Cricetulus griseus: one gene and its partner. The protein of the gene in region 2 interacts with the protein of the main gene of each other region in a pairwise test. Links are inferred from orthologs where the notes say so. Each region holds a gene or a part of one and is shown on either strand. Other genes may lie near its edges.

Region 1 (4,193 bases), on a different chromosome or scaffold from region 2:
CAAGCCTCGGACTGCCAAAGACTGGGGGTTCTAACTCAGTCTTAGGCGCCACCTGTTGGAATGCACAGTCTTGGGGTGTCATCTGTGTCTGAACCCCATCGGGTTTCCATTGTACATGGACAATTCTATAATTCTGACCCTCATTGTTGTCCCAGAAGACCCTCCCATTAGCATGGTAAGAAATACAAAATTCAATTTTCTCCTCAGTGGGAATGACACAGGGTAAGTCGATGGCAAAGGAGAAGGTGTCGCTGTCCGAGCTGCTGTAAACATTCTTCATGTATACACAGTCCACATCTGTGTAGGTTTTCCAGGAGTCAAAGGTGATTCGGACCCGAACCTCCTTCTCAAAGCTCACATTTTTCACTTTGACTGTCCCAGTCACTGTCCGCTCTTGCAAAGAGCAGTTCTCTAGGCAGACAAAGTTCTTCTGAAAACGGTCCCGGAAACTTAAGTAATCAGATGAAGGCTGGGGAAAATCGAAAACCAAATTTTTCTCTTCATGAAGTTTTAAGCTGGAGGAGATATCATTAAGGTCCAAGAGATCGAACTGCAGGTCCCACGCAGGTTCTTCTGGGAAGTCAGAGAAGACGTGGATAGCAGTGAGTGATAACCCCTTGGAGTCGGCAAACACAACCCGCTTCTTGGCTTGGTCATTTGTGGGCTTCCATTCATTCTGGGATTTGGCTTCCTGCTTGACATTGAGACATGGTTTCAAAGGCTTCAATTTATTCACAAAATTTCTTCTTTGAAAGTCACTGTAAGGACCCAGGAAACTCTTCAGGGGTGGTGAATGAGCCAAGCAAATTCTCATGGCCACATCCATTGGCATGACTGAACTCGTCAAAGGACGTGGATCCAGCACATGGATCATTCTGGAAAGGAAAAGGAAGAGAGGTGGTCACCAACAGCTGGGGTAGTCTTGCCCTGGTCCCACATGTATGTGCACCAGTTACAGCTAATCAGGGAGGTGTTAACACACGAAGACGAGGAGAACACGCAGGTGACTAGATCTGCAGACTAGCTCTGTGCTTGGCAGACTATTGGACCAGGTGTAAACCACCTGAAACACTCAGGGTAGTTCACTTTCCCCATCTGAAAACTAAGAGGGTTGGACCTGATGATGTCTGACACAGCTCTGAGGATTATTGCTCTGTTCTGGGTCAGTGCTTCTTCTACCTGTCAGGTCAATGTGACTAAAGGAGTTTCTTTGCTTTAGGGGAAAAAAATCAGTGGAGCTTCATGGTGTGGCACCAACAAGGTAAATATGTACTTAAAGCTTCCTCAAGTCTATTGACCAGACAGGCTCCTCCACAATCACAGTCCCAGACAGAGACCCTCTTGCTCCTTCTGGCTGCTGTTTCTTATTCTGGCTCTTAAATCGGTTTTACTTCTCTGGAGACATAATCCACTTGAAAAGAGACAAATGAAGCAATTTTTAAAATGTCATGTAGTTATTATGTGAAGTCAGAAAGACTTTTGTATTTTATCAAGCTCATCCTAATTTTTCAGAAATGACCAACTGCAACACCAGCCAACATCTCATGTGCTAAAGGAAAAAAAAAAAAAAACCTTTAAATAACCTACATTCATATAGAAGGATACAGAGGGATACTCATGACACATTCACATGGAAATGGAAAAACTGGCTGCTGAGGTAATAGACATATTCATTCTGTTCAATAATAACTACTTTATTATATTTGTCTTGTAACCCGCTGTATACATTATATATGCAAAATAAAATGTATTTTAAAAACTGATAATCTGAGAATTAAACTGTTTTAAAATACATAGTAGGTATAAGAATTTATAAATACTGAGAAACTTCACAGGGAAAAAGACTAAAATGTTAATTCTCTTTGCAGGACAGAATTACACAATCTACCCATTTTGTGCTCCTTTGGTGTTTTCTACTGTTTGGGCAAGTGGTATTTATATTTGAGCATAAATAAATGATAGATAGATAGACAGACAGACATAGTCTGGCTTGAAGAATTTCTCTTCACAGCCTCACTAAGCACAGCCCGCTGGCAAATGGTCATCATCACAGACAGTAAAGAATGTATACAGAACTCATTTAATAGGAGTTTTCCTGACAGACAAAAGCTCTAAGTGTATTTGTCTAACAACCATTAACAGGCAGGATTTGGGGAGGGAGAATTCTTTTACTACATCACGACTTGGAGACGCAATTAAATTTCATGGGATGTTCTCGGTTGCTTGGTTGATTGAGCTGTTATTCATTGTTTTTGTTTTGCTGAGCTGTTATTTGTTTATTCACGTCTGCATTTATAGTAAATTTTAGAATTGGGCAAGAGTTAAAAATGAGAGTTTGCTCAAACCTTGAGACTGAGTATTCTATGGCAAACCAGGATAGGCAAATGGGAGGAATGAATAAATGCAAAATCGTCCTGTAACTTCTGCCACAGCCTAAACTACCCCAACAGCAATGTCAGGGTGCAAACTATGCAGCCCTCAAGTGCTTGGGTCTTTGAGCTCAAAGGCAACAGAGTCACTTCAAGAAGGGAATCCCAGCCATAGCTGACTCGCGCTAAGGCAGTTTCTGCTTTGGGGTGCTGACTCCCAAAACAAGCTCTAAGAAGTACAACTCAATTCCACTCCTTCCAGGCCTCCGGGGTCTCCATCTGCAGAAAAGACAAAACCACAGGAGCCTCCCCCCCCCGCCCCCCGCGCCCAACGTCCTGCAGCAGCTGCAGGTTCCCCTCCGTTAGGGCGCAGAGTTGCACTGAACCTACCTGGTGCAGCTCATTGGGCCGAGAGGCAGCGGCGACCGCGATAACCTCACCCCGCGCAACTTCACAGCCAGCACCTAGTGCATGCAGGGCCACGGTCCAGCCCGCCGACTGACCGCCGGGGCCGGGAGGCAGCTTATCAGAGCCCGACCACGTGAGCTGGCCCCTCGGACCAATCAGCGGCCCGACGGCAGGGCCAACCAGCGCGCAGCTGGGCCACGAGCCCCTGTCCCCGGAACGTGATCACCGCGGGGCTGGATGAGCCCGGAGCGTGCTGGAAGGCGAGCCCGGTGTCAGGGAACCCTGGGCCAGCGGGACTCAGCCGCGTTCCCAGAACCGCGCGCGCCGCACGTAGCGCACGGCAGCAAATACTCAGCTGGCCTCTCCCGGCCTGTGCGAGCCTGGAGGGGTCCTATGTGTTATGCGTGGGTCTGTGCCGAGTTGCATCTGAGTTCAGAAAGTTGTGTCTCCACCCGGTGCTGTGTTATTTGAAATACTTGTGCTCCTTGCTTTGTGTGTCCAAGCTCCTTGGCCCACGCAAACAGAAGTTGGCTGACTTTTCTTTCTCCACAAATAACGCCATTCAGCCACTGAAAACAGGCAGGGGATGTTAAGAAACCTCGTGAGCCCATGAAAGGAGGTGGCCCTGTGATCCCTCACTTCTGAAGACAGGCAGGGGGCCAGCCTGGACAGCCTAGCAAGACTCTACCTCTAAATAAGCAAGCAGACCCTTTGTGTGCCGTTTTCTCCTTGGAAGAGACCAACGTGAAGTTACTGTCCTTGTTCATTGTCAGATGCAGCATGCAGCCCGAACCCCTGCCAGGGTTCCGACATCCTTAGGCAGTGAGGGAAAAGTCAGGCTACATGTCACAAACCTCCCAAGACAGCTGCTTTCACTGAGGTTTCCTTATTTTATTTTGGACCTTGAGGGACCAAATCAGTTGTACAATTAAAAACTATAAAACTAACTTTGTTAGTCAAGTAGAAATTTTCTTCTTTTGTTTTTCTGAGATTTTAGGTACATCATTTCCCCTTTCCCTTTCCTCTCTCCAAACACTCCTATATATCCCTCCTTGTTCTTCAAACTCATGGCCTCCTTTTTTGCTAAGTGTTGTTATATGCATATATGTGCAAAATATTTTCATAAAGCCCCATGACCTGGCTCTGCTTGGTTATCCAGCAGCCAATTAGAATGAACACAATTTTCCTGTGTCACTTACCTGTCAAACACAAGAATTGTTACAATGGAGTTAGAATGAAGAAGAAAAAAAAAAATGCATGCTGCTGGACTGGAGAGGGCTCAGCTATTAGAATGCTTTGCTACTTTTTCAGAGAACCAGAGGTCAATTTCCAGCGCCCAGATGAGGCAGCTCACACCACACACACACACACACACACACACACACACACACACACACACACACACACAGAGTCATT
Region 2 (3,648 bases):
TGAATCTCTTAAGGTGTAACAATTTATTTTCTTGGTAGAAGGATAGAAAAGACAACACTATTACAATGTTCTCCTAGATTATCAGGTTTTTCTCTTTTTATTTATAGGACTGTCACCAGATCTACAGTCTATGGAACAGATTCGGAGAATTATGAGACCCACTGATGTCCCTGATACAGGTAAGTATATACAGAGGTTTATAGTTAATTGCTTTATGTAAAATGTTGACATGCTTGAACCTAATTATATTTAGTGGAAGTCATTCAGAAACTTTAGTATCATCCCTCACCAGTTAACATTTGATACTAAGTTTTGGTTTGGGGGATATTTTAATGGAAAGTTTCTGAGATTTTGAAAATGTTTATTTCAGTGTTTGATGTTCAAAGAGTTCAGCCTTCAGAAATAGAATAATATAGTCCTTACATCTTTTCCTAGGTTTAAACAGACATTTCTCAAATTAAGGATCTAATTTGATTTTGTTCTTCACCATATTGTTTTATTACTGTAGAAATTAGAAAAGCAGGATAGAAAGTGGGAAAACAAAGAATCTAAAGTGATCAGGATAATTCTGAAGGAAAAAACTACAGGGAAAGACTAGCCCTGCCTGCCAGATATAAAATCTTAACTTAAAAGTGTTTATGTTTTCATGGCTTAATGATAAATAATGCAAGAGGCTGGTGCTTAGTAGTGTAATTGTAAGAAATGGATAAGCTGACATTCAGGGAATGATAGTGAGAAACTAAACAGAGACTTCCAGATATTATACTTGAGTGTGCCACACACTATTCGTGTATGCAGAAATCATCAGAAAGTGCTGCCTTGGGAGTCCAGGAGAGGCTATATTTATATGGTTGCTTTAACAAAGAATGGTTTAAAATGTAACAAGGCAGGAGAAATATATATGTGCTTTATTCTGTACTTTCTTCTATTTCATTGATTTGTTTTTTCTGTTTTCTAAAGGTTTGCTTTGTGATTTACTGTGGTCTGACCCAGATAAGGATGTACAAGGCTGGGGAGAAAATGATCGTGGTGTTTCTTTTACTTTTGGAGCTGATGTAGTCAGTAAATTTCTGAATCGTCATGATTTAGACTTGATTTGTCGAGCTCATCAGGTATGTAGTGTTAAGACTCTTGAACATTTTGTTGTTAGTTTCACACACTTTCACTCATAGTCAGACAGAGCACGCACACACACACACACACACACACACACACAGACACACAGACACACACACACACACAGACACACACACACACACAGACACACACACACACACACACACACACACACACACACACACACACACACACACACACACACGAACGACAGTGCAAAACTGTCTGAAACTCTAGTTCTAGAGAATCAGACGGCTTCTTCTGGCCTTCAATAGCACCAGGCATGCAAATGGTGGACAAACATACATGTAGGCAAAACACCCATACACATAAAAATAGAGTAATTAATTGAAAATTTAAAAGATAATGTGGTTTATATAGGGAAAAGAATGGATGAGGAGGCCAGCACATAGTCTGTTCCTCAAATGTGTGGGTATTGTTTTTTGACAAAAGCAAACTGCTATGAAAAAATTTTTGAGGCAGTTGTGGGATGTGATTACCAACTGTTTAATAGTACATTGTTAATTATTTTAGCTGTGATCAAATCATTATTGATACTGTAAAAAGAGTATTCACTGTTCTCAGTAATGCATACTCAGTGCTCATGATCTGTAAAACATAATTGGTTTGTAATACATTGACTGGAAGACACTCTGAAAGTTATCTTTTGTCCCTCTTAATTTTGCTTTTTAAAGTGTGTATTATTTTTCTGTGTGAGAATGTTTTGCCTGCATGTATGTGCTTGCACCACAAGCATGCCTAATGCCTAACAGAGGTCAGAAGAGTGTCAGATTCTCTGGAACTAGCAATGTGGATGTTTATGAGCTAACTGTTGATGTTTGGAACTGAACTCAGGTCCTCTGGAAGAGCAACATGTGCTCTTTAACCGATAAGCATTGCCTCAGCCCCTTCAGCCTCCTTTTTTGTTGCTGGTTGGTTTTGTGGGTTTAAAAAAGAAAGGTAGGGTGTGTGTGTGTGTGTGTGTGTGTGTAGATTCATTTTGTTTTGTTTTCTTACTATATTTTTGAGTAAAGCCAGGGTCTTGGCACTTGAGAGGATTTGGCCTTTGCTTCATTAATCAGTTAAAAATTACCTACTAGTGAGTGTTTTTATTTTTTATTTCCTTCGACAGGTGGTAGAAGATGGATATGAATTTTTTGCTAAACGACAATTGGTAACCTTATTTTCTGCCCCGAATTACTGTGGCGAGTTTGACAATGCTGGCGGTATGATGAGTGTGGATGAGACTTTGATGTGTTCATTTCAGGTAAGACATGAAATATAAGTGTCTGTCTGTCTTTTTTGAGACAGGATCTCCTTGTATAGCTCAGGCAGACCCTGACCTTGCAGTCTTCCTGCCTCTCCTTCCTGAATATCAAGATAGTAAGCTAGGCTGGGCAGTGGTGGCACATGCCTTTAATCCCAGCACTCAGGAGGCAGAGGCAGGTGGATCTCTGTGAGTTTGAGACCAGCCTGGTCTACAAGAGCTAGTTCCAGGACAGCCTCTAAAGCCACAGTGAAACCCTGTCTTAAAAAAGAAAAGAAAGGGAAAGCTTAGGCTACACCATTCTTGGTCCATATGTTTAAGTTGTTAATTCTTCTGTGATGTACTGGATCGTGTGTAACTACTAAAAGAATGAGTGGCAAGCTGGGAAGATGACTGAGTAAATTGCCTGCTGTATAAGCATCACCTTAGTTTGGACTCCACTTCATGTACAACAGTGGCATGTGCCTGTAATTTTAGGCTAAGGTGGTAGAAACAGGGGGTACCAGGACAGGAGTTTGCTGGACAGCACAGTAGCCAGTTAATGAATTTCAGGTGCATTGATCACCCTTTATCAAAAAAAAAAGAAAAGAGAGAGAGAGAGAGATGAGGAAGATACCTAACATTTGTTGACCTTTCTCGTATGTATGTATGTATGTATGTATGTATGTATGTATGTATGTATGTATGTATGCATTCTCCCACACTGTGAAGAATGAATGCAGTGGATACATTAGGGTTTGGGGGGATGTTTGTTTGCTTGCTTGTTTTTTGTTTTTTTTTTGGGGGGGTCAAGATTGGTGCATGAGATAGGTATTGGGGAAGAGAGAATTATAAATTTAGACAAAAATAAAATATTTACCTAAGAAGGAAAATTTCCAATAAAAATATGCACGTTTAAAAGGCTCTTGCTTTCTCGTGCTTCTTGTACAAACTTGTTACTCACTGGCTGAAAAGCTTACTGCTACAAAGGTGATTTCATGATCTTGACATGTACATTACCAACATCTGAGGATGCATAAATTCTTTGTATAGAATGGCATTATGTTCAGATATAGACCATATATATCCTTCCTTCTGTATGGTTAGCTTCTGAATTGTTTACAATGCCTAATATAGTGTTTAGAGAAGGACCAAAAATGTCCATACATGTTCAGGCCAGAAACCTCTTTTTCCGAATATTTTCACTCTAATATTAGTGTGGTTCTTGGATTGAACTGATTGAAACCCACTGGTGTGTAGAACTGACTCTGTTTCTAAGTGTAGCA

Evidence for each region. The genes of interacting proteins can lie anywhere in the genome.
Region 1: the proteins of Ppp1cb (region 2) and Ppp1r3c interact in binary tests that used the Homo sapiens proteins (3 or more experiments, as listed by UniProt). The two-hybrid records come from large-scale screens. The link is inferred for Cricetulus griseus from reciprocal best matches to the Homo sapiens genes PPP1CB and PPP1R3C.

What each region holds. Positions count from the first base shown.
Region 1 is NC_048596.1:25,029,273-25,033,465, reverse strand, and holds the start of Ppp1r3c (protein phosphatase 1 regulatory subunit 3C), read right to left. Parts: upstream 2,871-4,193; 5' UTR 2,774-2,870; coding exon 2,760-2,773; intron 876-2,759; coding exon 1-875.
Region 2 is NC_048600.1:11,979,538-11,983,185, reverse strand, and holds part of Ppp1cb (serine/threonine-protein phosphatase PP1-beta catalytic subunit), read left to right. Parts: intron 1-107; coding exon 108-179; intron 180-960; coding exon 961-1,112; intron 1,113-2,248; coding exon 2,249-2,383; intron 2,384-3,648. UniProt on the Homo sapiens protein: Protein phosphatase that associates with over 200 regulatory proteins to form highly specific holoenzymes which dephosphorylate hundreds of biological targets.